4 linked regions of the Macaca mulatta genome follow. The protein of the gene in region 2 interacts with the protein of the main gene of each other region in a pairwise test. Links are inferred from orthologs where the notes say so. Each region holds a gene or a part of one and is shown on either strand. Other genes may lie near its edges. The genes, in order: POGZ, QRICH1, CRX and NFIX.

Region 1 (5,104 bases), on a different chromosome or scaffold from region 2:
CAGGAGTGAGCCACCATGCTAGGCCAGATAGTAGTTTCTTAAAGGATAGCAACATTTTGGAATCTGAAACCACATCAATCCACTTTTTTACTGTTAAAATCCATTGCTATATCTGGTATTTTCAAAGGCTCTTTTACTTTTGCTTGATTTTGCAACATCATGCATTGGTCATCTGCAAAATACAGATTTACTAAGTTATGCCCATCTTCCAAATGACATATTATACAACATTTTTAAATATTACAGTCCTTAACCACTGATATCATAAGGGAAGTTTTTTAAGTACTAGGAAGCTGTCAAACTCCAGCTGTCAACTTTTTAAAAATTCTAATTTTCACCCAAATTTTATCACTGGTAATAAATACTGTCAATTGTTTTCCTAAAAGTGACAAGCTCACTTCATTTTCAAGAAATACCTGCCAAATACTAAATGTGAAAAACCACAGTTTGCCAGTCGCATGGTACTCCATGAAATAAGCCACTCACAACCCAATCCCACAAATGCTTTTCCCTCATGACAACAATCACACCTCCGTAGGCAGCATAAATGCTTTATCCATGTTTATTTCATCACAAATTCTTAAAAATTAAAAAGACAAGTAGTCAAAAGCTAAGATTTAATAACAACAGGCGGGGCACGGTGGCTCAAGCCTGTAATCCCAGCACTTCCGGAGGCCGCCGTGGGTGGATCGCCTGCCATCGAGTTCGAGACCAGCCTGGCCAAAATGGCGAAACACCATCTCTACTAAAAATACAACCCGGGAGGCAGAGATTGCAGTGAGCCGAGATAGTGCCACTGCACTCCACCCTGGGCGACAGAGCAAAACTCCGTCTCAAAAAGATAAAAATACAATAATAAATTTTACTGCTTCAAGGGCATTCTCAAGTAAGCAGTTTGGTGCCACTGACTTGCTTTGTGCTAAGGTACCGTCAGTAGTTTTACCCAGCATTGCTTTTGAACCATCAGCGTATCAGTGAAAACAATAAATAGCATCTTACTATTATTTTGAAAATAATTATGACCTTGAGGCTCCCCTGAAAGGGTAAGAGGAGATCCCCACAGGTCATCCGCCCACACTTCGAGAACCGCTTTCCTATATTATACCACTAGTTCAAGATGGGAGTGGAAACTCTAAATCACGTTCGTCCCAAGAGTCCATGTACCTCCTTAGTTTGAGATACACCAACACAGCTCTGGAAAAGGGAAGGAAATCAAGGGCACAAGGTGTCATTTGTTTCAACATCTTGAACACTTTTATGTTAGACCAGTAATTTTCAACGTAGTGGTCACATTAATCAGCCTCAGCCGCAGGACTGCTCATTTAAAACTGTAGAGATGACAACTCCCCTCTGCTCCATTCGAATAAATTTGGGGGATGAGGCTCCCCCAAATTGTACGTTTAACAATCTTCGAGTTACTTTTTATGCACCCCGAAGTTGAGAATGATTGTACTAACAGTTCGAATTCAGAGTTTAAGCTCTCACACCCTGAGCAATGGTGTCTCGAAATTAATCGTTTGCCAAGGAGCAGCCCTCCCTGCCCCCTCCGTTTCCCTTTCCTCTAGTTGGGTAAATGCCTACAAAAGTAAAACCCCGGCCGGGAGCGGTGGCTCACGCCTGTAATCCCAGCACTTTGGGAGGCCAAGGCGGGCGGAGCACCTGAGGTCAGGCGTTCAAGAGCGGCCTGGTCAACGTGGTAAAACCCGTCTCTACTAAAAATACAAAAATTAGCCGGGCGTGGTGGCACATGCCTGTAATCCCAGCTACTAGGAAGGCTAAGGCAGGAGAATCACTTGAACCCGGGAGGCGGAGGTTGCAGTGTGCAGAGATCGTGCCACTTGCACACCAGCCTGGACGACAAGAGTGAAACTTAGTCTCAAAAAAAAAAAAAAAAAAAAGTAAAACCCCATTTCTGTGGAGTCTTGAGCTGCGGTGAGAGGTGTCCACGGGCTTGGAGGGACGGGCTACACCGCCTGCATCAAGACAGCGGCTGCTCTGAGATAGTCCAACTGCATCTTAATTTCCATTTTGAAAATGAGACTGGCCACCAAATGACTCTGAGGACTCATCAGCACTACCTTTTTCTGAACTAAGAATGTCCAAGACAAGTGCTACTAGCAGTTTGAGAGAATCCCACATCTGGAGAAGAAGGAAATCAGAACACGCAGAAAGAGGGAAAGCAAGTAGATTAATGACAGTACTCCTTTGCAAAAGCTGCCAAAAATCTAAAGAAAATAGTCCCCGGGATAAACATGGCGCCCACCGCGGCAGGACATAATCACCAGAAAATAGAGATTCTCCGCCCCATCCCATTTGATAAATCACGGCGCCATCCCTAAAGAAATTTGGGGGCCGAGGGAGGAGAGTTCGTAAACTAGCTGCAGTGCACTAAGGCTTAGGATGTACTATTAGACCAAGGAGAGATTACATAACAAGGCATCGGCTCAGCAATCACTCATTTTCCTCCTCCCGCTCAAAACGAGCGCCCCACTCCTTCTCCGAGCGGGGACCGGGCGGGGAGGGCCGCGCACCCCCACCCCCAGGGGCCGCTCCGCCGCCGCCCGCCCCCGCCGCCGCCCGGCCTCGCCCCCTCGCCGGCCCCTCCCGCCGCGCTTCGCCGTCTCGCCGCCGCCCGCGCCCCCGCCCCTTCCCCAGCGGGCCACCGCCCGCGCCCGCGCCGCCCACTCCTCCGAGACGCCTCGCGCCGGGCGTGCGTGTGGACGTCGGGCTGTGTGCAGGGCCGTGGGGCGCGAGTGCGCGCGCGCGCGCCGCGACGGGCGCCAGGGGGCGGGGGTGGCCGGCCAGCCGGCAGGCAGGGGCCTCCGCCGCCGGCCCTTCGCGCAGCTCCCGCGGCCCGGGGCACACGCACACACACTCGCGCTCGCGCACCGCGCCCTGCGGCCGCCCCTGCCGCGGGCCGCGCCGCCACTCGCGGTGGGCGGGGGCGCGCGCCGCCGGCCCCCCGCCCCCACCCCCGCGCGTACCGGCCCCATCCCCCTCTCATTGTCTCGCCTCGGAACGCCTCGCCGAGCGAAAAGATAACGGAACCCCCGGGAGCAGGGGGTGGGGAGAGAGAAGGCTCGCTCGCTCACTCACCTCCCGTGGTCGTCGCCGCCGGTAGTCTGACCCGAGAAAGGCGCCGTCGCCTTAAAGGGACCTTACACCCGGCGCCAGAAGGGGGTGGGAGCAGGGAGGGGACAGGGGCTTGGGGGGAGACGAAGAAGAGGTAACCGTTGAAAGCTCGTCTCCCCAAGGGTGAAAGGAAGCCTCCCTCGGGTTCGAGTGATTTGGGGTGGATTTTTTTCCCGAGGGGGGCGGGGGGGGCCCCGAGGGAGGGGGGTGGGGGGGCCAAGGAATGCGGCTCCGTGTACGGGAGCTGGCGCGGGGGAGAGAGACGCCGACTCCCCCCACCGACCCTCTCGCCCCGCGGAGGGATACGGCTCGTCACTTCCGCCCTCCCCTTTTTCATGGCCTCCCAATTGGTCGGAGCGTGCTGCACGTCATGGGCTCATCCAAACCCCTGCCCGGGCTTCTTTTCTAGTCAAGTTTGGCTGGGCCTGCAAATAAATAAATAAAGGAAAATATTTTTTATAATGAAAAAAGAATAATTAGTTTCAGAAGCTGTATCTAAATTTTGGTGAGAAAAATGAGACTCCCAAAGAAAATATTCCCCAATTTACTTGCCTAGAGTTTCCAAGGAAGTGTTGGGAGGCTCCCCCACTTTCCACTCAAGGCTTAGACCCAGTCAAGAGGAGGACTTCATGATACAGGCCAGGTGGTGAGGCCCAGTGGCACCAACAACTGTCATTGGAACAAAGAACAAAATGGCACTCACTCTTTCTCAAGAGACACTCGGCCAAGTAGCCTTGTGGCTGTGGCCTTGTTTAAGTGAAGAACTTTTAAAAGCCATTTTGATCCTCATGCCCTTCTGGATCCTGGAAAGAAGTGGCACACGATTGTTAAAGCGATTATTGTGATGGAAACTGCTTTGCTTCCATTGTGACTAGATTCAGCAGAGATCCCCAGTTCTAAGAAACCACACACACTCCACATCCTTATGCTTTTTGCTGCAATCAAGGCTGAGATGGGTTGGCTCAAAGAAATTGTTTGGTCCACTCAAACGACCATCCACCTGTTTATTCTTCCCCAAACAAAAACTACCTCTTCTCAGGTAGCTGAGAAATTTTGTCCTTTGTTGCTTTCTGAGATTATAAAAATTAATATTTTCCTTGAATATTTGAAAATGTTTGCTATTTAAGCAATACACAAATGTTTGCTTCAAACCAAGTACTTGGTGCAGAAAGGGGAAATCCAGAATTATGTTTATTCGTTCTCTTTATATACACACTCCATTCGAACCACCAGACTGTGAAAATAGGCAGTGGAAGTAGGCATTCCAAATTGTATGCACCTGCCCGTGCACACACACATACACACACTGTGCACACACACATACACACGCTGCCACCACCTAGCTTCATTACATTTCATACCAAAACCATGTGAGTGATTTCCACTAGTGTGGGATGCTTAGGAAGGACTTCATTATTTGACTGAGAAGAATCCCTATCCTTCTGAAAATACTTCTGAAGACTTACCAGACCTGATCTGGAGAAGCAAGCCCATGTTAAGATTCTAGGATCAATCACCAAAAGACTATATGAAACTCAAATCCTATTTTATGCTGTCGTGTAATTACTTTAATTCATTATATATATCTACATTATGTATATTACATTACGTATTATTAACCTTTGAAAAATTCCAACATATTTTCCCATGCTCTGTCAATTTATTCTCTCAGCCAATGAGATCTAGCGCAGACTATGCCATATACCGTTGACCAATGACCATTAGCATGCTTTATTGAAAGTGGATCAGGCCGGGCGCGGTGGCTCAAGCCTGTAATCCCAGAACTTTGGGAGGCCGAGACGGGCGGATCACGAGGTCAGGAGATCGAGACCATCCTGGCTAACACGGTGAAACCCCGTCTCTACTAAAAAATACAAAAAACTAGCCGGGCGAGGTGGCGGGCGCCTGTAGTCCCAGCTACTTGGGAGGCTGAGGCAGGAGAATGGCGTAAACCCGGGAGGTGGAACTTGCA
Region 2 (4,619 bases):
ACTGTGATTTCTCCTCAAAAGCCTTCAAGCACTAAAATATCCACCTCTGCTCCCTTGAACTGCCAGTCTGCAAATTTCCATTATGCTTCACAACAGATGTCCTGAAAACCTAACTACATTGGTATATTATTCTAGCTAGACTCCTTCAAATAAGTATTTAGTGTTAATGCAGGGAACAATGAGAAGGAAAGTTCTATGCTGGCACAAGACTTTGTTTTGAATAAATTACTTTCATGAAAATCAGGTTTACCTTAACAAAAAGAAAAGTGTTACATAAATGCTTTGTGAATTACACACAAAAAAAGGTCAAGGTAATTACCAATAATGTAACAGAAGTTTCTCTAGGTAGTAGGATGATGAATAATGTTTGTTTTCCTATTTTATTATTTATTTTATGCATTTATTTTTTAAGAGGCAAGGTCTTGCTTTGCAGCCCAGACTGAATGAAGTGCAATGGCACAATCATAGCTGACTGTAGCCTCGAACTGCTGAGCTCAAGCAATCCTCCTGCCTCAGCCTCCCAAACAGCTGGGACTACAGGTGTGCACCACCACACCCGGCTAATTATTTTTCTTTTCATTTTTGAGACAGGGTCTCACTCTGTCACCCAGGCTGGAGTGTAGTGGCATAATCATGACTCACTACAGCCCCAACCTCTGGGGCTTAAGCAATCCTCCCACCTCAGCCTCCCAAGCAGCTGGGACTACAGGCACGCACTACCATACCCAGCTAATTTTTTGTAGAGATGGGGTTTCACTATGTTGCCTAGGCTGGTCTCAAACTCCTGCGGCTCAAGCGATCCTCCTGCCTGAGCCTCCCAAAGTTCTGGGATTACAGGTGTGAGACATCTCGCTTGGCTGTTATTTTTTTTCTTTTCTTTTTTTTTTGAGACAGAGTCTCGCTCTGTTGCCCAGGCTGGAGTGCAGTGGCCGGATCTCAGCTCACTGCAAGCTCCGCCTCCCGGGTTTACGCCATTCTCCTGCCTCAGCCTCCCGAGTAGCTGGGACTACAGGCGCTCGCCACCTCGCCCGGCTAGATTTTTGTATTTTTTAGTAGAGACGGGGTTTCACCGTGTTAGCCAGGATGGTCTCGATCTCCTGACCTCGTGATCCGCCCATCTCGGCCTCCCAAGGTGCTGGGATTACAGGCTTGAGCCACCACGCCCGACCTCTTTTTTTTTTTTTTTTTTTAATTTTTGAGACAGAGTCTCGCTCTGTCGCCCAGGCTGGAGTGCAGTGGCGCGATCTCGGCTCACTGCAAGCTCCGCCTCCCGGGTTCACGCCATTCTCCTGCCTCAGCCTCCCGAGTAGCTGGGACTACAGGCGCCCACAACCGCGCCCGGCTAATTTTTTGTAATTTTTTAGTAGAGACGGGGTTTCACCGTGGTCTCAATCTCCTGACCTTGTGATCCGCCCGCCTCGGCCTCCCAAAGTGCTGGGATTACAGGTGTGAGCCACCACGCCCGGCCCCGGCTCTTATTTTCTAAAGTGAACATGTACGTTTTTAAAACTTAAAAAAATGTGCATTTTAAAACTCATTATATACCTGAAAGAGAACTTCCTTATTTTAACTTCTTGTTTGTCATTAACTAAACTAGCAAACATCCAACAGGAACACAGCTCAAACATGTTCTCATGAAGATCTGTTTCCTACCTTTTGAATACACAGGAAAATATAGTAGAGCACATCTGGGTCATAGGGTTCACCTTCTCCATTTCGAGCTTCCCGTGTCATTAGACAGAGCCCATAATTCAACTCTGCCACAGCAGAGGATATGAGATCTTCCTGGAATCGCAGCAGTTGGCGCCCTGCAACGAAAGCCCCAAAGATGAATGGAGGTCCTGGCAACCCAGGACGAATAGAGGTCCTGGGGGTCCATATCTGGAAGGCTCAGAACACATACTGCCCATGAGGGTGCTGGGACAGAAATGGTCACTTGTATCTACTGTAATGTTTCACGCCTGTAATGTCAGAACTGGCCTATCATGTGAGTATATGAGCCTAATGCCAAGAAAGAAGGGCTTGAGTGAGTGCCTACTACCTGGTTCCCATTTCCTCCCAGAAGCCACTGTGTTCAGGTCTGGTAGGGTCAACTCCTGAAACCCGTATGTCTAAAAATGCCTGGTTTTGCGCAAACCCCACACATCCTGCTTATTATGTACACAGGGTCAGTACTGCTTGTTGCTAGGACTGAATTCAACATACTATTACAGATGTTGCTCTCTTTTCCCCCAGACAGGGGATACCACTTTTCTGCCATTTTGTCCTCCTGTTACTTCAGTACCACTGCATTTTAGACAGAGCCCACTCTTCTTCCCAGACACTCACTCCCAATGGGTGCCAATCTGTTCTGAGCATCCTTCTCTAATTCAGCATTCTTGGTCTGGGCCCAGTTTTTCCATACTTCAAGCCCTTCTTCTGGCTTCAAAGAATTTGGAAGCAGAAGTTCTGGGGAAGGCTGTGGCTGTGACTGTGGTTCAACTTCAGCAACCTGGACAGTTTGAGCCTATAGGAAAGAAACCATGAAAATGTGTCAATAGTGTTTTATATTAGATCCTTCAGCAAAATTGCCAGAAAATTGTTATGTGTAGTTCATTTATTTAAGAAAATATTTCTCTACTCCTTGCTGTCCTACTTTTAAGAAGCTTTGCAGTTCTACCTCCTGCCCCAGGGACAGCAAAAGCAGCACTGCAACTGGGCTAGTGCCGTGATTCTCAGCTTTGTCTGCACTTTTAAATGTTTTTTTTTTTTTAGACGGAGTTTCGCTCTAGTCACTCAGGCTGGAGTGCAATGGCACAATCTCGGCTCACTGCAATGTCCGCCTCCCGGGTTCAAGTGATTCTCCTGCCTCAGCCTCCCGAGTACCTGGGATTACAGGCATGCACCACCACGGCCAGCTAATTTTATAATTTTAGTCGAGACAGGGTTTCATCATGTTGGTCAGGCTGGTCTTGAACTCCCAACCTCAGGTGATCTGCCCGCCTCGGCCTCCCAAAGTGCTGGGATTACAGGCGTGAACCACCGTGCCCGGTCAAATCTTTTATTTAAAAACACTAATAGCCAGACTTACCCCAGAATCTCTCTGAGGGGGAGCAAAGTATCAATCGTATAAAAACTCCTCAAGTAAGATTGCGCCACTGCACTCCAGCCTGGTGACAGAGCGAGACTCTGTCTCGGAAAAATAAAAAACAAAACAAAACAAAACAAAAGAACTCCTTGAGTAAAAAAGTAATTCTAATGTTTGGTCACCACTGAGAACTACTGGCTCAAAGCACTGCTTCCACAATCTTTTTCTTTTTTTTTTTTTGAGATGGAGTCTCGCTCCTGTAGTACAGGCTTGAGTGCAGTGGCACAATCTCAGCTCACTGTAACTTCCACCACCCGGATTCAAGCAATTCTCCTTCTTCAGCCTCCTGAGTAGCCAGGATTATAGGTGTGTGCCACCACACCTGGCTAATTTTTTTATTTTTAGTAGAGACGGAGTTTCTCCATGTTGGCCAGGCTGGTCTCGAACTCCTGACCTCAGGTGATCCACCTGCCTCAGCCTCCCAAAGTGCTAGGATTACAGGCGTGAGCCACTGCACCCGGCCCCCACAATCTTTAATGTGCAAACAAATCACTTGGGGATTATATCAAAATGTATATTGTGATTGAAAAGGGTGGGATCTGAGACTCAGCATTTCTTTTTTTTTTTTTTTTTTTTTGGCAGGGACAGAGTTTCGCTCTTGTTCTTTGGATGCTGGAGTGCAATGGCGGGATCTCGGCTCACCTCGACCTCTGTCCCCCAGGTTCAAGCGATTCTCCTGCCTCAGCCTCCCAACTAGCTAGAATTACAGGCATGTGCCACCACTCCCGGCTAATTTTGTATTTTTAGTAGAGATGGGGTTTCTCCAAGTTGGTCAGGCTGGTCTTGACTCCCAACTTTGCAATTTCCTACTTTTTGAAATTCTTTTTTTGAGCAAAGTCTTGCTCTGTCACCCAGACTAGAGAGCAGTGGCATGATCTTGGCTCACCATAACCTCGGCCTCCCAGGTTCAAGGCATTCTCCTGCCTCAGCCTCCCGAGTAGCTGGGATTATAGGTGTCTGCCATCATGCCCGGCTAATTTTTGTATTTTTAGTAGAGACGGGGTTTCACCATGTTGACCAAGCTGGTCTCAAACTCCTGACCTCAGGTGATCCGTCTGCCTTGGCCTCCCAAAATGTTAGGCTTACAGGCATGAGCCACCATGCCTGGGGAGATTCTAAAGAGATCCTTACACCCTAAAAAAATAAAATTCCAAGATTTTCCATTTTTTTAGTTTGGACTCTGATTTTGAAGGGCAAGAACTGAGTCACCACATGTTCAAAGAATGTACTTGAGCTGGGTGAGGTGGCTCACACCTGTAATCCCAGCACTCTGGGAGGCCGAGGCAGGCAGATCACTTCAGGTCAGGAGTTGGAGACCAGCCTGGCCAACATGGTGAAACCCTGTCTCTACCAAAAATATAAAAAATTAGCCACCAGGTGAGGTAGCATGCGCCTGTAATCCCACCTACTTGGAAGGCTGAGGCAGGAGAATTGCTTGAACCTGAGAGGCAGAGGTTGCAGTGAGCCAAGATGGTGCCACTGCACTCCAGCC
Region 3 (5,150 bases), on a different chromosome or scaffold from region 2:
AAATGCTATTTTCTTTTTCTTTTCTTTTTTTTGAGACGGAGTCTGTAGCCCAGGCTAGGTTGTGGTGGCACCATCTTGGCTCGCTACAATCTCTGCCTCCTGGGTTCAAGCGATTCTCCTGCCTCAGCCTCCCAAGTAGCTGGTATTATAGGCGTGCACCACCAGGCCCGGCTAATTTTTGTATTTTTAGTAAAGACGGGGTTTCACCATGTTGACCAGGCTAATCTCAAACTCCTGACCTCAAGTGATCTGCCTGCCTTGGTGTTCCAAAGTGCTGGGATTACAGGTGTGAGCCACTGCGCCTGGCCCATAAATGCGATTTTCATTCCCATTTTCCAACAAGGCGACTGAGGTATACATTGAAGGTGAATTACTAGGAGAAAAGAAAGATGGCATTTTAATTCGATAAGTTTGTTGCAACCTGTACTGCTTGCTACCTACCTGCCATGGGAGTGCGTCTTTCCCCACACTGACCCCAGTGCCGGAAGTTATCAACCTCTTTCATCTTTGCCAATCTGATAGGTCAAAAGTGATCGTGGAAGATCCACACTCACTGTTTTTTTTTTTTTTCTTTTCAGAGATGGGGGTCTCACTATGTTGCCCAGGCTGGTTTTGAACTTCTGGGCTCAAGTGATTCTCCTGCCTTGACCTCCCAAAGTGCTGGGATTGCAGGTGTGAGATGCCTTTCTTGGTCCTTACTGTAGTTTGTTGTTGTTGTTGTTGTTGTTGCTGTTTTGTTTTGTTTTGAGACAGAGTCTTGCTCTGTTGCCCAGGCTGGAGGGCGGTGGTGCCATCTCGGCCCACTGCAACCTCCGCCTCCCGGGTTCCAGCGATTCTCCTGCCTTAGTCTCCCGAGTAGCTGGGATTACAGGCGTGGGCCACCACGCCTGGCTAATTTTTGCATTTTTAATACAGACAGGATTTCACCACATTGGTCAGGCTGGTCTTGAACTCCTGACCTCAGGTGATCCGCCCATCTCAGCCTCCCAAAGTGCTGGGATTACAGGCATGAGCCACCTTGCCTGGCCTTTTTTAATGCCACTCTCCCTTAGGGTGACCAACCAATCCAGTTTGGCTGGGACCATTCTGGTTCTAGCCTGAAAGTCCTATGTTCCAAGATACAGCCACCTCTCCTCCATTCTGGGCAAAGAGGGATGGCTGGTCAACCTGCAGTCCTTGGTTATAAGTGAGGCTGAGCGTGTTTGCCCATGGTCACAGAAAGAAGGGATCTTGGATGAGGAAGTGTTACGGGATCAGATTGGTTTTTTTTTTTTCTTAGAGTCTTGCTGTGTCACCCAGGCTGGAGTACAGTGGCCTGAACACAGGTCACTGCAGGCCTAAACTCCTGGGCTCAAGTGATCCTCCCACCTCAGCCTCCTGGGTAACTGGGATTACAGGCATGCATCACCACACCCAGTTAACTTTTTAAAAAACACTTTTTTTTTTTTTTTTTTGGAGACAGGGTCTTGCTATATTGCCCAGGCTGGTCTCAAACTCCTGAGCTCAAGTGATCCTCCCGCCTTGGCCTCCCAAAGTGCTGGGACTACAGATGTGAGACATTGTGCCCAGCCAGGATGAGATTGTTTTAGAGGGTAGAGTAGGAATAAGAGCTCGCACTTATGAGGCGCGTCATCACTTCAGCTCTCTGCTTTGCAGAGTCTCAAGAAAGCTCTGAGAACCTTAAGCAGAGGCCATTTTACACGTGAGGACACAGAGGTACGGAGGTGAGATAAATGGCCAAGGTCACGTACCTAAGAGGAGACCAAGGCAGGATTTGAATCTCAGCCTGCTTGTCACCCCATGGTGAGTAACTGGTAAGTGAGTGAGCATCCCTCCTCTTCTCTTGCAGGCCCCCTGACTTGGGCCTCAGCGTCCCCGAAGATCATGATGGCGTATATGAACCCGGGGCCTCACTATTCTGTCAACGCCTTGGCCCTAAGTGGCCCCAGCGTGGATCTGATGCACCAGGCTGTGCCCTACCCAAGTGAGTACAGTCGTTTCTCTCGGCACCCCAGGCTGGCCTCACCTCTTAGAGGACCTCTGGGGTCCCTCTGCCCCAGGAAAAAAGCAGTCACAGGGGCGACTTCAGGGCCATATACCAGCCCTCTGGGTTCATCTGAAATGCATGTCACTTAGAAAAACATGTGCAGTCCTAGAAATTCAGGACAGAGGTTCCTTTTGGGGTGGGGAAGAGGAGATGTAATTTGGAAGGGGAATCAAGAGGAATTTTCATCTGTTAGCAAAACTTTATTATTTATTTATTTTTCAGAGATAGGGTCTCACACTCTGTCGCCCAGGCTGGAGTGCGGTGGTGACGGTCACGGCTCACTGCAGCCTCAAACTCCTGGGTTCAAGCGATCCTCCCACCTTAGCATCCTGAGTAGCTGGGACTGCAGGTGTGAGCCATTGTGCCTAGGCAGCAAAGCTTTGTTTATTTTATTTTATTTTTGAGATAGGGTCTCATTCTGTTGTCCACTCTGAAGTGCAATGGTGCAATCATGGCTCACTGCAGCCTTGAACTCCTGGGCTCAAGCGATCCTCTTGCCTCGGCCTCCCAAATAGCTAGGATTACAGGTGCACGCTACCATGCCTGGCTAACTTTTTAAAGTTTTTGTAGATTGTGCAGGATCTGGATTATACAAAACATAGAAAAAATTAATTTTTTTTTTTTTGTAGAGATTGGGTCTCCCTATGTTGCCCAGGCTGATCTCAAACTCCTGGGTTCAAATAATTCACCTGACTCAGCCTCCCAAAGTGTTGGGCTTACAGGCATGAGCCACTGCACCTGGCCTGCAAAGCCTTATTTATTTATTTATTTATTTTGAGATGGAGTTTAGACGGACTTTCACTCCTGCCCAGGCTGGAGTGCAATGGTGCAATATTGGCTCACTGAAACTTCCGCCTCCCAGGTTCAAGTGACTCTCCTGCCTCAGCCTCCCAAGTAGCTGGGATTATAGGCACATGCCACCATGCCCAGCTAATTTTCATAAAGCCTTATTTTTAAGAGAAGTGAGCACTCAGTTATTTGTAGCATTATTCTTTAGCTCTTGTTTTTGTTTTTGTTTTTTGCATTACGTTGAGCGGTGTGGACTTGCTACTTTCTTTTTTTTTTTGAGACTGAACCTCGTTCTGTCACCAGGCTGGAGTGCAGTGGCGTAATCTCAGCTCACTGCAACCTCTGCCTTCTGGGTTCAAGCGATCCTCCTGCCTCAGCCTCCCGAGTAGCTGGGAGCCACCACGCCCGGCTAATTTTTGTATTTTTAGTAGAGACAAGGGTTCACCATGTTGGCCAGGCTGGTTCTCGATCTCTTGACTTTGTGATCTGCCCGCCTCAGCCTCCCAAAGTGCTGGGATTACATGCGTGAGCCACCGCACCCAGCCCAGACTTGCTGCTTTTATAGGCTAGAAATGGTTGAATGTCAGCGATGTCATGCTTCAACTAAATATGTCTTAGTGCATGAGAAAGCTTAGAAGAGGGAAAACGACTCACATACCTCCTCATAGAGTTAAAGCCAATTCCCCTTGGGGTCAGGCAGGAGCCACAGAGTGCCAGGCACAGAGGAAGGCGTAGAAGGGCAGGGAATGTGCATTCCATCCTTAGTTTAGGCAGATGGCAACCGGGATGGAATTCTTGGCATCCCACCCAGCCTCAGGGCCTCACATCAGCCCATGGTGGATGACCTGAGGGTCCTGTTTCCCTTCCCACCCCAGGCGCCCCCAGGAAGCAGCGGCGGGAGCGGACCACCTTCACCCGGAGCCAACTGGAGGAGCTGGAGGCACTGTTTGCCAAGACCCAGTACCCAGACGTCTATGCCCGCGAGGAGGTGGCTCTGAAGATCAATCTGCCCGAGTCCAGGGTTCAGGTGGGGTGGAGGGTCCCTGGACCCCTCCCGACCCTTCCTGTGACCTTCCAGGGGCCTCCCTGGAACTCAGAGTGATGGGAGGAGGGAGCGATCACAGAGTGACAGCCAAAGTTATCAAGGAGACAATAATTCCTCTCCCCACCATACCACTGACCGCCTCTTAAGGCTCTCATCGCCCCTCGCTCCTCTCCAGCCGCGCCGGGCACTGACCTGCCTGCCAAGCACCCTCCTGCCTCGGGCCTTTGCACTAAGTTTCCTCTATCTGGAATCCTTATTTTCCAGATAACCACACAGCAGGCCCCTTGTTCGAGTCTTTGTTTATCTATCAGTGAGACCCATGCTGAACACAGCATTTAACATTGCAGTATTTCCCCAAGACCCTGACTCTACTGCTGCCCACTATCCCGCTCAATCGTTTCCTCCACAGTGTCTATCGCCCTCTGAGATACCATACAGTTTACGTGTGTTTGTATCTATCGCCCTCTGAGATACCATACAGTTGCATATGTTTGTAGGCTGCAGGTATGATGTTACGTATATGTGCCTACACACATGTGTATGATTGGAAGGATAAATGAAGTATGTGTGTTTATGTGATTGTATGTATGTATGATTAGATACATTAGTGCATAGCTATGTATGATGTTATGTGTGTACAATGTATGTGCCTATAATTGTATATTTGTATGTTCATATGATCATACGTTCATACAGTTTATGTAAGGTATCTCAGAGTCCGTTTATTTAGACTCTGTCTCTCCCAACTAGAATGTCAATTCCACTGATGGACCCTCAAGAGTAGCAGAAGATGGTTAATGCATGTTTGTTCATTGACTGAATAGACGGATGGATGGATGGGTGGGTGGATGCAGAGATGAATGTGTATGTGTGACTGTATATGTGTGTGTGCATGTATGACTGGAAGCATGGATGAGTGTATGTATGTGCATATATGAGTGTCTAGTGTGTATGATGGACGGATACATTTATATATGTGTGTTTGTATGAACGCATGTAGGTATGATTAGATAGATGACGAATGTATGCACGCATGATATATGTATACATGATGTATGTACACATGTACAATTGTATGTATACATGCATGCATGCATGATTGGATGGATGGATGGGTGTATTTATTTATTTATTTGAAACAGAGTCTCACTCTGTCGCCCAGGCTGGAATGGCACAATCTCGGCTCACTGCAACCTCCGCCTCCTGGCTTCAAGCAATTCTCCTGCCTCAGCCTCCTGCATAGCTGGAATTACAGGCACGCACCACCAT
Region 4 (5,078 bases), on a different chromosome or scaffold from region 2:
CCCCCCCGCCCCACCCCACCCCCAGATTTGCTGGGTGGCTGCTGCCAAATGGACCCGAGTGGGAGCCTGGAATGAAAAATTCATAACTGCTGGACTTTGCTTGTTCATTAGACGTGAACTTGTCGATTGGGCAAATTGTTTTTGGTCTCCAACTGCCGGGGGCTCTCCCCACCCTCCCGGCTCGCCTGGTTCCCTCCTCCCCTTAGACGCAGCCATTGGCTGCTCGTGGATGTCTCTTTGCCAAATAGGTGGATCCTTCTCTCTCTCTCTCTCTCTCTCTCTCTCTCTCTCTCTCTCTCTCTGTCTCTTTCTCCCCCCCCCCCCTTTTTACTGGCTTGGCACAAGCAAATGGATGGGGATTGAGCCTGAAAGGAGAGAGAGAGAGGGAGTTTGAGAGAGAGAAAAGAAGCAAAAAAAAAAAAAACACCCCAAAACCCAACCAGTGCGCACACACACGCGCACACTCACACACACGCCCCATCCCATCCACGTCCTCCCTCGATCCTCGATCTCTCCCTCCCCCCCTTCTTCCTTTCCTCCCTCCCTCACTCCCTCTCTCTCTTTTGCACGCGTCTGCCAGCAACGGTCTGCAGCCGGTCAGAACTCGTCCTCTTCCCCGGGAATCTGCGAGCTCCCCCTTTTCCTCCGATCAGGCAGCTCGAAGTTTACACCCCTGTGCCGCTGCCAAAGCCGAAAGCCTTTTTCTTCAGCTGCCGCTTTTTCCCTCCTGGGTTTTGTTTTTGTTTTTGTTTTGCACGGGGGTGGGGTGGGGTGCGTTGTTGGTTGCGGGGAGATGGTGGGAGGCTGGTTTTGATTTTTAAATTTTGCATTTTTTTCTTTCTTTCTTTTTTTTTTTTTTTTAACTGGAAGAGGATGCACAGGGGAAGAAATTGAAAAAAAATTTGTTGGCTTTTGTTTACCTGGCGTGTGTGGCAACCGGCTCGCTCCCTCTCTCTGCTTGCTATCCCTGACCTTTCTTTCTTTTTGCTCCTTTTCAAAAAAAATATTAATTTCCCCCTTCTGTGCAATGGAGCATGGGGGGGGGAGGAGGGGGAAGGGTTTGAGAATCCACCCAAGCCCAGCCCCTATTCCCCAGAACACCAATAATAACCCCCTTTAAAACATTTACCTTCCTCCCCTGCTCCTCCTCCTCCCCCCTCCCCCCACCCGCCCCCAACTCACAACTCTGTTGAGTCCAGAATCTCAGAATCGGGCGTTGGGCTTTGCCGGGTGCTTCAGATCAATGGTAATTATTTAATTTTTTCCAGTTTTATTTTTGTAAACAGAAATCAATTATTATTTAAACTTCAAACAAGCAAACAACCAAAAAAAAAAAAAAAAAACAAACAAAACCGAGAGAGCCCATCCTTCTGTCACCTGACTGAGTGGGAAAGAGGGTGAAGGGGTTGTGGGAGGCTGGGGAAGGGGTCGCAAGAAGACCCATGTAGCTTTTAACCCTAATGTGGCCGAGACAAGCACCTTATTTGTGCTAACAAGAAGTGTTTTGTTCATTATTACTGTGATTAACATTAGTATTGGTGTCGATAACAAAGCTGAAATCACATATTTAGGATTTAGGTCTGATTAAAAAATGCTGGGGTGGATGTTCCAACTGGATCAGGAGAAAAGAAAATGAAAACAGCCTGGGGAGAGGGAAGCCTGATCTGTTTCCTCACTCGCTTGCTCGTGGATGTCATTTTCTCTCTTCTTGGGGGCGGCCAAAAATCGACCGGTGTCGGGGACCAGAGGCGGCCCCGCACGCCCCCGCGTGTGCGTCCACGGGCGTCTGTGCAGACGGACATTGCGCCGGGGCGAGCTGACAGGAGTTCACGGCTGCGATAGAACATGGAGATGTCATGGGCGCGACAGAGCCTGGCGGGGATACCAGCAGCGTGTGTGTGTGGACGGCAACGTTGTCTGTGCGCGTGTGTGTGAGTGAGTGAGGGAGAGAGAGAGAGAATAGGTGTGTGTACAGGCTCCCGGTGCCTCTGTCTGGCTGCTGAGGCTGAGATGGGAGCAAGTGGCTGGCAAAGCTGGTGGTGGCTTCAAACCACACTTTTGTAGAACAATTGCAAGAGAAAATTGTTGGGGGGAGGGAGGAGGAGGAGAAGGCGGTTTTCCTTGTGCCCCCCCTTCTAACGCTGCTTTTCTCCTTCTCTCTTTCCCCCTCATCCCGTCTTCCCCTCCTCCCGTCCTCCCTCGCCCCGCATGCTCCCGGCTTGCCGCCTGCAGGATGAGTTCCACCCGTTCATCGAGGCACTGCTGCCTCACGTCCGCGCTTTCTCCTACACCTGGTTCAACCTGCAGGCGCGGAAGCGCAAGTACTTCAAGAAGCATGAAAAGCGGATGTCGAAGGACGAGGAGCGGGCGGTGAAGGACGAGCTGCTGGGCGAGAAGCCCGAGATCAAGCAGAAGTGGGCATCCCGGCTGCTGGCCAAGCTGCGCAAGGACATCCGGCCCGAGTTCCGCGAGGACTTCGTGCTGACCATCACGGGCAAGAAGCCCCCCTGCTGCGTGCTCTCCAACCCCGACCAGAAGGGCAAGATCCGGCGGATTGACTGCCTGCGCCAGGCTGACAAGGTGTGGCGGCTGGACCTGGTCATGGTGATTTTGTTTAAGGGGATCCCCCTGGAAAGTACTGATGGGGAGCGGCTCTACAAGTCGCCTCAGTGCTCGAACCCCGGCCTGTGCGTCCAGCCACATCACATTGGAGTCACAATCAAAGAACTGGATCTTTATCTGGCTTACTTTGTCCACACTCCGGGTAGGTCGTTCTCAACCATTTTTCCCCCTCATTTTATTTTACTTGCTGGCATTTGTTCTGTTTATTGTTCTCTAATTTCCAAGCGATAACTCGCCGCGGGCCTAACTGGTGTATGCCCGTCCTGCCGGGCCTGCAACACGTTCTATGGGCCCTTTTCCTTTTTCCTGTCTTCTGTCTCCCCCAGCCTGCTCCATTCTTCCTCCTCTGCTCCCTGGCCATGTTATTGACTTTGTGCATTTCCATCGTTGGAGGACTTATCTGATCAGAAAGATGCTGCAGGTCTTAGGATTGGGGACATGATGCCCCCAGAATTATCCATGATGGTGAGAGTTTGAGATGAACAACAACAACAGCACACCAATATTTGCTCTTATTAAAATGAGTCAGAAGAAGTATTGAGGGGCAGGTACTAGTTTTCCTGCAGCTTCACCTCCAGTCCCAGGAAAAACTGGTTTTGGTACAAGCGGGATGGGCAGGAGTTGGTGGAGAGAAGGGGCATGTGAAACCCCGGGAGATGCGACTGAATGAACAGAAAAGAGGAGAGAAGACAGTAGTGGGCAGATTCTGCAGCCTAAATACTCAGGCGGGAGCTGTTTGGCTGGGATTTGGCTGTCAGAGAGTATGAAAGTAATTTGATTTCATAGAGAGTGAAAACAAGCACGAGATTCCTTGAGCTTTTTCCCTTCTCCTTATTTCAGCTAAAGTGGCAAGGCCTCAGGATGGATGCCCACAGCCCTGGCACTCTGCTGGGGAGCAGAGAGGCTTTCTCGGGGCACAAGCATGGCAGGGAGCAGCACTGCTGTGGAAGAGGTCTTAAGCAAACAAACAAACAAAAAACTCTGTAAAATCTCCTTTTCCTTTTGTGTTCCAAGTAGTTCTGCTTCTCCTCTTCGCTTTTCCAGTTTTACCCTGCATTTTGGGTCAGGGTGGTTTAGTTCTCCTCCTCTGTTCCTTTTTTTCCCTTACCCTTTCCCTTTTTATAATTTCTTTCCGCTTTTGTTTTCTTACAAATTGAAACAGAGATGGCTGGTTAATTTTTAGCCTCCACTCAGCTACGCCCAATTTACTGCCGCCTTTGAAACCTAAACGGGCGGCACTCTGTGATTAAGCAAGGCAGAAGTGTGTTTACATTATGCCCAACCAACTTGTAATGAGAGGGCTACCAAACCTTTCTCTGTGTGTGTGTGTGTGTGTGTGTGTGTGTTTCCTTTCCACCATTCCAGTATTTTTTCCCCTTCATTTCCCTTTTTCCTCTCTTTATGCGAATGTGAGAGAATGTGGCTTAACTTCAACTCTCGCAAAGGTTGTTTCCCGCGAGTGTGTGTCTCTGTGTCTTCCTTCCTGCCCATTCACAAAAAAGAAAAGCAATTCACAATGGCTATGGTCACCCCCTTGCCTGTTTGGGAAGTTGGGAGGAATGATATCTCTGGATCCAGAAATAAAATTTGGGTTTGGGGGTGCTTTCAGCACTGCGTCAGGAATGTAATCTAGATTAGAGTGCCCTGAGTTTATATGTTGGAGAACTGTGGAGAGGAGAAGATGGTATTGGAATTCTTGTCCTGAGAGGTTGCTTTGGTAACTGGTTAGAAGCAGGGGACACCACTCTCACCCCCCAAGTCCCTACCTACTTCTGTAGATCTTTCTAGGCCTGCACCCGGCCCTGTGTGACCATCGTGACCCGTCATGCTGAAGGGCCAGGGGCCAGTCATTCCACCTCCCTTCATCTTGAATTTTTTCTTTTTTCTTTTTTTTGGAAAAGAGACTAAGAGGGAAAAAAAAGTTATCCCCTCATTCTCTGTCTATACAGCAAGCCAAAGTGGGAGGGTGTGTGCCTGGTAGTATTGGAGGTGGCTGGTGGCTTGCAGAAGGCTCGGAGCCTCGAGCTTACCAGCGTGGCCATCAGGTACTCCTGCACAAGGGGATTCTGCACCTTCCAATTTTAGAACCAGGGGCTCGAGAGCATCTAAGATGAAAATCAACACTCATCTTCCTCTGAGCTGGCTTCCTCCAACCCCGCTCTCTGACTGGATCCTTGTAGCCGAGTTGTTTCCCTGGCCTCTTTTATTTTAGGCCAGATTCTTGACTGCTGCCAGCGTGGGGCTAAGGTAGGATGAAAAGTATGTGAGGAAGGAGACCGTTTCCTGGCCAGAAGAAAGGCCCCCCATGCCTCCCTGCCAGCTTATGAGATCATTCGCCCAGGAATATGAGCGAATTCATACCCCATTCCATGTACCCAAGGCCACTGCTCTGGGCTGGGGCTGAGGCCGAGTCTCCTCTACAAAAGCAGAGTAGGGAACTAAGGGTGTATTCTATA

Evidence for each region.
Region 1: the proteins of QRICH1 (region 2) and POGZ interact in binary tests that used the Homo sapiens proteins (3 or more experiments, as listed by UniProt). The two-hybrid records come from large-scale screens. The link is inferred for Macaca mulatta from reciprocal best matches to the Homo sapiens genes QRICH1 and POGZ.
Region 3: the proteins of QRICH1 (region 2) and CRX interact in binary tests that used the Homo sapiens proteins (3 or more experiments, as listed by UniProt). The two-hybrid records come from large-scale screens. The link is inferred for Macaca mulatta from reciprocal best matches to the Homo sapiens genes QRICH1 and CRX.
Region 4: the proteins of QRICH1 (region 2) and NFIX interact in binary tests that used the Homo sapiens proteins (3 or more experiments, as listed by UniProt). The two-hybrid records come from large-scale screens. The link is inferred for Macaca mulatta from reciprocal best matches to the Homo sapiens genes QRICH1 and NFIX.

The regions. Positions count from the first base shown.
Region 1 is NC_133406.1:115,623,576-115,628,679, reverse strand, and holds the start of POGZ (pogo transposable element with ZNF domain), read right to left. Parts: upstream 3,397-5,104; 5' UTR 3,097-3,396; exon of another isoform or gene 3,005-3,096; coding exon of another isoform or gene 2,985-3,004; intron 1-2,984. UniProt on the Homo sapiens protein: Plays a role in mitotic cell cycle progression and is involved in kinetochore assembly and mitotic sister chromatid cohesion.
Region 2 is NC_133407.1:112,479,043-112,483,661, forward strand, and holds part of QRICH1 (transcriptional regulator QRICH1), read right to left. Parts: intron 2,507-4,619; coding exon 2,329-2,506; intron 1,809-2,328; coding exon 1,654-1,808; intron 1-1,653. UniProt on the Homo sapiens protein: Transcriptional regulator that acts as a mediator of the integrated stress response (ISR) through transcriptional control of protein homeostasis under conditions of ER stress.
Region 3 is NC_133424.1:60,315,568-60,320,717, forward strand, and holds the start of CRX (cone-rod homeobox protein), read left to right. Parts: upstream 1-1,884; coding exon 1,885-1,984; intron 1,985-3,711; coding exon 3,712-3,863; intron 3,864-5,150. UniProt on the Homo sapiens protein: Transcription factor that binds and transactivates the sequence 5'-TAATC[CA]-3' which is found upstream of several photoreceptor-specific genes, including the opsin genes.
Region 4 is NC_133424.1:13,593,513-13,598,590, forward strand, and holds the start of NFIX (nuclear factor 1 X-type), read left to right. Parts: upstream 1-1,790; 5' UTR 1,791-1,845; coding exon of another isoform or gene 1,846-1,856; coding exon 1,857-1,931; exon of another isoform or gene 1,932-1,963; intron 1,964-2,232; coding exon 2,233-2,764; intron 2,765-5,078.